2 linked regions of the Drosophila melanogaster genome follow. The protein of the gene in region 1 interacts with the protein of each later gene in a pairwise test. Each region holds a gene or a part of one and is shown in the gene's direction. Other genes may lie near its edges.

Evidence for each region.
Region 2: the proteins of B9d1 (region 1) and mRpS35 interact in a two-hybrid assay, tested with the Drosophila melanogaster proteins (one large-scale study listed by BioGRID).

Annotation. Positions count from the first base shown.
Region 1 is NT_033777.3:15,479,953-15,483,604, forward strand, and holds B9d1 (B9d1), read left to right. Parts: upstream 1-1,953; 5' UTR 1,954-2,054; coding exon 2,055-2,442; intron 2,443-2,560; coding exon 2,561-2,898; 3' UTR 2,899-2,952; downstream 2,953-3,652. UniProt on the Drosophila melanogaster protein: Probable component of the tectonic-like complex (also named MKS complex), a complex localized at the transition zone of primary cilia. Required for ciliary structure and function.
Region 2 is NT_037436.4:2,778,902-2,782,758, forward strand, and holds mRpS35 (mitochondrial ribosomal protein S35), read left to right. Parts: upstream 1-1,997; 5' UTR 1,998-2,111; coding exon 2,112-2,229; intron 2,230-2,292; coding exon 2,293-3,155; 3' UTR 3,156-3,204; downstream 3,205-3,857. Other genes in the region: Atg2 (Autophagy-related 2), read left to right, coding at 1-1,512.

The DNA of each region.
Region 1 (3,652 bases):
GCTAATGCACTTGCAAAAGACTTCAATTGAAAATTTTCATTTACACCAGGCTGGCCGGTCATTCAATGGATATGAATCGGTTTTATATAAGACTCCAAAATGAATATTTCTTCTGAATAATGCCTCCGTTCATTGATTCCAAAAACGTAATTGAATTCACAATGGCTGTGTGTCTGTGTGTGTCAGTTTGCCTGCAGGCGGCATATTCTTCAGTATTAGAAGTGGAAAAATTGTCGAAATCAAAATCGCACAGCATAATGCTACGAGTATAATGCCATATAGCTAAACTCGAGCCCAAATTATGTCGATTCTGCGCTGCATCAGCACTATCTCCGATTGCAGCAGCGAATTGAGCGGCTTTTAGCTTTGGATTTGGCATATGGCCTGATGTCCAATTTCTGATGGCTTTACTTTTGCTTTTGCCTTTGCTTTTGGGCTGACTGACTAAGCCTAAGCTTTTGTTTTGGCAATCAAAAGGAGCTTATTTCATGGAACTGCACATGCCACACACATTACACTGCTCGAAATGCCAGATTAAGCGGGAAAACTATATACATAGTTGGAATGTAATGAAACATCATCGCCAACTTTGGGTACACAGTGCTTATTAATGGGTAATTTCCGATAAGTAATGCATTTAATCTTAATTTATTTTTATAAACAATACTTGTTTTTTTTTTTTTTAACTACTGAAAATACTTTAATAATTTGTCAGTTAGTTTTTGAATAAAATACAGTTGCAAATAATATTTACCACAGCCATCGTTTTATTAATGAATAGGTAATGAACAGGTAAGTGGAATTTTCTTCCAGTGTAAGCACTTGATCCGACTCTGATTGCAACACCAATCGGCTGTCCCAGCTGTGCCACCACTCAGCTCCACAGCTGCACTGACGACGATCCAATCCGATGGGTGCGAAGATCATCTGCGTGGCTCGTGGAAGATGCCAGGTGAGCCGGGAGTTCGCCTTGAACCATTGACATTACTTGAGGCGCATTTTATTTACGCCCAGCATGATTAACTGATTAACTGACTGACTGACTAATTGACTAACTAACTGACTAACTGACTGACTGCCTGGCTGTTGGCCAGTTGGCTACTTGGCTACTTGTCCACTGGCCATTGCATAATGCATCATGCTAATAGGGAGCGGCACCGGGGGATCGAAGATCGAAGGCGCGACTTCCTGTAGACTTCGGTAGCGCCGGCAATTGTTACAATGATTTACGACCATGCCACGTTGGCAGCTATAAATTGCTAAATGGCCATTACAGCATTAATTACACGACCGACCAAGAGTTGTGAGTCGAATCGAAATTGAAATTGACCTTTTGCCCCGCCCAGACTGCCGGTCTGCAGAATGAGTTATTATCTTGTAATTGTCACTTACCAGCGGTGTGCAGATATGTTTCTTCGATCTCGATCTGGATCGGAGTATGCAAATTGGAAGCCAGAACCACTCGATGTCCATGTAACCAGCGATGTCGGTTGGAATTAAATTACATTGCTGTCGACATGACAAAGTGTGCGAATACTTAACTAACGAAACAAAGGAAATCCACCAACTGGTTACAATACATAACGAAAGGAATCATTAATGTGATTTATGAACATGTTGCCTCATTGAATCAGAGAAAAATAGAAATTATCATCGCAGTTTTATCTAAACTATTATTAAATGCAGACAGGCCATAAACCATCCGTTTGTTGAGTGTCTCTGGGGAATTCCTATTACTCAACCTTAAGAATCATCAAAATATAGAGGAAATTGTTTACAATCATTTCGTTTCCGATCTTGCAAGTCATAAACATCAAATTAATACAATAATGCATTTAACAAAAATCGTATGAAATAAATCGAACAATTTTTGCTATATAATCCCAATATATCGATTGTTATAGAAAATATCCCTTTTTTTTCGGTCCAAGCTGTCATATTTTTTGACCACTTTCAACACTTAGTTTGTGGCCAAGTCAGTTTTGGCAGGTGGAAAATAGTTGGCACTCGACTTGGCTGGAAACACACCCCGTTGTGAGTCGGCAACCACCACCATGAGCGCCAGCGAAGGCATCAGTCTCCCGGGCAACGAGGAAACCACTCCGCCGCATGAAAAACATAAACAAAAGGCCAAGAAGGCCAAAAAGAAGTCCCGGAGTGCCAAAGAAAGTGTTCCCAATGCAATGGACGCGAAAGCCACTGCCAGCTACTTTAGTTTGAGCATCGTGGGCCAAATAGTCTCGGCCACCTTTCCCCTGGGTCCCGACAAGGAGTTCGTCTTCCTGCGCTACGAAATGGTCGCTGGTCCCGACTGGCAGCTGTCCTCCGGACCCCAGCACGGACTCACCCAGCTGGCCACCAATAGAAGGGGCCATTTCAACGAACCGATTGTCTTCAATATGCCCATCGAGGTGACCTACAAGAGCACCAGTCCATATGGCTGTGAGTAATAGTACAGAATCGATTAGTTTACTATATTCTTTCTCAGCTCAGCTATTAACAATTTTTCGAATCAGATTGAAGTTACACCAACAAGATCTCCAATTCTTTTGGTTTCCAGGGCCACAGATCCTGGTGACCGTGTTCGGACGCAGTGGCCTGGGCAGGGAGACACTACTCGGTTACGCTCACATCCACCTGCCCGTTTTCGGCAGTCGTCGTCCAGCGGATCAGACGGAGCAGCTGCAGGCGCCCATCCTGATGCCCAAGTGCCCCAACATGATGGCGGACATCACCAGTTGGCTGCTGCGCCGCGAGCCGGAGCTGAAGGACCCCAAAGTGCTGCTGGACAACCTGAAGTGCAAGGGACTCTCTATGGAGTCGTACGGCAGCCTACAGTTTCAGCTGTCCTCCGTGATGAGGGGCGCCCGCAAGCTGGGCTACCATTGGCACTCCTGAGAGAGAGAGTCGAGTCCAGAGTGTGTTAGTAAAACGTGAACTTGAGGAAGCAGGAAAGCGTTTGTCTTAATCTAATTGCCGGGTGGGTGGTACCTCAAACTTGACCTTGTCCGTTGTGGCGGCTAAGACGATTTCAAAATGACGCGACTGCTGCTAATCCAACGCAGCAAACGAGCGGCAATCGAAAGCCCAATTCGAACGGTTAGCTTTGGATTGGCCAAGTGCCGGCTAATTGGATTAGGGCAATTAGTCTAAGACGCGTTGTACACAAGTGGCCATATAAAGACCAGACGACCATGGTCCGCCCCAGGCATTGCCGCCGAGTTCGCGTCCCGAGAGTCAGCCGTCCTGCTATGGACAGCGAGTAGTCGCCGCAGCAGAGTAGCCAGCCATCCAAGTTTAGACGAAGCCACCACCGAAGCGCCACCAGTACCAGCCATTCGAAATGGCCAGCCTGCATCCCCCGAGCTTCGCCTATATGCGCGATGGGCGCAATCTCAGCCTGGCGGAGAGTGTGCCCGCCGAGATTATGCACATGGTGGATCCGTACTGGTACCAGTGGCCTCCATTGGAGCCCATGTGGTTCGGCATCATTGGCTTTGTGATTGCCATTCTGGGCACCATGTCGCTGGCGGGCAACTTCATTGTGATGTACATCTTTACCTCGTCGAAGGGACTGCGCACGCCGTCCAACATGTTTGTGGTCAATCTGGCCTTCTCCGACTTCATGATGATGTTCACCATGTTCCCGCCG
Region 2 (3,857 bases), on another chromosome or scaffold:
ACCAGTGGCTTTGGCATGTCCGATACCTACAAGTATGGCGTGTCTCAAGCTCAAGAGCAGGATAAACAGGACAAAAAGGGTTCCAAGAAGGGTCTGCTCAAACAACCCAAAGGATCGCAGCGCAATCTGGAGGTTCTAGTGGAGATGCAGCTCTCCAAGATTCGATTCTCCTACGAAACCTATCCGTTGACCTCCATGTACTCGTCCCGTCAGGTGCTCCTTGTGTCGGAAATTGAAATAAGAGATAGGTTGCGCTCCTCGGACATTAACAAGTTTCTGTACCATCCGACGGGCAACAATTTATCCCATAAGCCGGACGAGAACATGGTCATAGTGAAGGCTCTGAATGTGCGTCCGAATCCGCAAAAGAGCTCCGCGGAAGAGTGCTCCCTGAGGGTCTCCATTTTGCCCATAAAACTCAACATTGACCAGGATACTCTGCTCTTTCTCGAGGACTTCTTTTCGGGCATGTTCCGAAACTCCGCTAGTGCTGCTGGTGGCACCAAAACGGAGGGCAGCAGTTCGTCGGCCACGGATATGCCGGTGATGTCGGTGAGCAAAATGCCGGAGGAGTTATCCGATAAATTGCCCGATTCGGAAGTTAAGGAGATGGTGGAGAGGAACCTGAATGTGCTGATTGAAGAGAACAGCTTGGATGTGGAGTTGGAGGAGGATCCTGCCACGGCTCCACCTGTGTTCTTCCGCGAGGTGATCTTCAGTCCAGCACTACCCATTTGCTTTGACTATCATGGACGGCGGATTGAACTCTCCCGCGGACCGGTCACCGGCCTAATCATGGGTCTTGCCCAGCTGCAGGGATCCGGAATTAATTTGAGGGAAATTGTGAACCGCAGAGGCATTCTGGGATGGAACAAACTGTGCGAGTTCCTGGCCAAGGAGTGGCTGAAGGACATCAAGCGGAATCAATTGCCCAATATCCTAAGCGGGATTGGACCCACGAATGCGGTGCTGCAGCTTTTCCAGGGTATCTACGATCTTTTCCGGCTGCCCATCGAGCAGTACAACAAGGATGGACGAATTATCAGGGGATTCCAGTTGGGTGCCCAGAGTTTCACCGCTCGCACAGCGCTGGCTGCCTTGGAGATCACCTCCAGGATTATACACCTGCTGCAATTCACGGCGGAGACTACCTTCGATATGCTATCTGCAGGTCCTTCCATGAAGAAGCGGAAGGGCGGCAGGCAGGGCAAACGGAGGCGACAGGGACGACCCAAGGACCTGCGCGAGGGCGTGGCCAACGCCTATACCATAGTGAGAGAGGGCATCAACGAATCGGCCAACACACTCATCGAAGCCGCCATCACGGAGCACGACCAGAAGGGCTACAGCGGAGCGGTGGGCGCGGTGGTACGCCAGATCCCTCAGCTGGTCGTCTGCCCGGCGGTGCTGGCCACCCAGGCCACCACCAACATCCTGGGCGGCGCCAAGAGCTCGCTGATTCCGGAGGCCAAACTGGAGGCGCGCGACAAGTGGAAGCAGGAGATCCACTAGGCAACTGCTTCACAGATCGACTAGGTTAACGGTAGCTATAGTTCACGGGGCTTACAGCATAACGCAATGTTTTCTATTGTTTTACTAATAATAAATAATGTACATAAAAGGAGCACTTGCACGAGACGGCGAGGTGACGAGGGATTTGGGATCCCGAACGGTGATTCCGACATGGGTGTGATTGAACTTATCCTTTTTAGCCATATTACAGTACATGAGAGTTATATTTTTTATTATTTTACCTGAATAAATATATATATATATAAAAGAAAAAGATGACGTATTTCTTCATGGTGCTGCTAAAAGTTTAAGAACGGATACTATTCTAGCAAAATTTAACCGAACTACCAGAATTTATTAAACCCTCAGCTAAAAATGAAGTACAAATAAAAACAACTAGCAGTTTACAAAATGATTTAAAAAGACGTTACTTTTATTTGTATGCTTCTCTGTGAATGGCAAGTTTCTGTAAACAGCTGATTGCTTGCTATTCGGCGCGAATGAATGTTCGTTGGCGCATGGTTTACGTAAAAGCCGCATAAATCGCTGGAAATATTAGTTAAAATTAGGTATCTAAGCTTAAAATTAAACATAAAACCATGTCCAGTGCGCTGACTCGCCTGTTGGAGCGCCTGCCACTGAAAAAACAGACGGCGCAAAGCGGTATTCGTGTTTTTTCCAACCAGGAGCAGCGGCAAGAAATTGAGGATGATGAAGGTAAACAATTAAGTTTCCCTGGCTTACACGTTTTATAATGGATATATCTTCCTGATCGGCCAGAATTCCGAGTGCTCAGCCTGCGGACGGTGAAGCAGCAGATGCAGAAGCGCCAGCAGGTCCGTCGGGATCCCATCACACCGCCGCGCACTGGCCGCATGGCGGTGGATCAGGACTGGACGGCCGTTTGGCCAGGACCACGTTCGTTCCACCCGGCCAGTGTGCCTCTGCCACTGCGGCAGGGATTCACGGAACGCGGAGCAGCAGCTCCGTCGAAGTTCGCCAATGCAGAGCTGATGAAGATACCCAACTTTCTGCACTTGACACCGCCGGCCATCCGTCAGCAATGCGAAGCCATCAAGAAGTTCTGCACGCCATGGCCAAAGGGTCTGGAGACAGAGGCCAAGTGGCAGCGCCACTTCCCCCTGGAGGTCACCACCACAGACTACTGCCAGAGTTTGCCCACGATCAGGAATCCGGAGGCCAGGCGCGTCACCATTACCCTGAAGCTCTCTGACCTGAAGTTCGATGCGCACGCCAGGGATAAGTTCCTGCGCCTGGTGGGCGATCGCTACAACAAGGACACGGACCTCGTTACCTTCGTCACGGATCGCTGTCCGCAGAAGAAGCAGAACTACGACTACGCCCTGTATCTGCTCACCGCTTGCTATCACGAATCCTTTGTCACCGAGCCGTGGGAGGCCACCAAATCGGAGGCCGACATGGAGGTCTATCTGTTCGAGCGTAACCAGTCGAAGGTCTCCGCCGAGGGAATCCTCAACTGGAACGCCAAGAAGGGTGCTCCAAAAGTGGTTCCCAGCAAGTCATTCGCTGAATGCGTGGAGAAACTGATAAACGAAGGCGAAAACGAGTACAACTTGGGCAAATACAAGGAGGAGGTCAAGAAGATGTTGAACATTGCCTAGGAAACTGGATAGTTGAGTGAACCAATAAAGCGAGAAGTTGTTAAAAAATAATCATAACAAGTATTTGAATGTTACAATATTTATCTTGTTAATAATTTTGAATTGAAACTGGGCAACCATGTAATCCCCCTTTACGACGCCCCTCCTTCGTTGTGAATGTCCGAACAGCTGTTTACAATGAAGGCGTGCCCGTGTGAATGGCATTAGAACAGCGCCAAGAACAGAACCAAAAAAACCGAATTTCCGCGGACGTGGAAGCAAACTTTTGTTTTGCTATGCTAATTAGTATTTTAGTAGTTAATAAGTTTATTCAACCCCGTTTGGATGGAGCTTTGAGTAGAATACAGTCGTAGAGAGGTGAGAACAAACTCCTGATAAGAATTCACCTGCTGATGACGTTTCACCTGATTAAAATTATAAAATCCGGAATTATAAACAAAGTTAGTCGCTGAAGTGTTTCTAAGTTATAGTACATTCATTGACATATGTCTGCGATAAGGTAACTATCCAGCGGATGTTCCTTCAGCGCAGTTAAATATCATTTCTATTATCTTAACTTTCGTATTGGTGAAAATGACTCGCCGCTTATCTTGTATTTTTTGTATGTGCGACCCAAAAAGATACATATGTGCTTACGTTTCTGAATTTTTCTACTTTTCTACTATTCTCTTTCACCCACAGACCACGTTGCAGTGCCGCCAG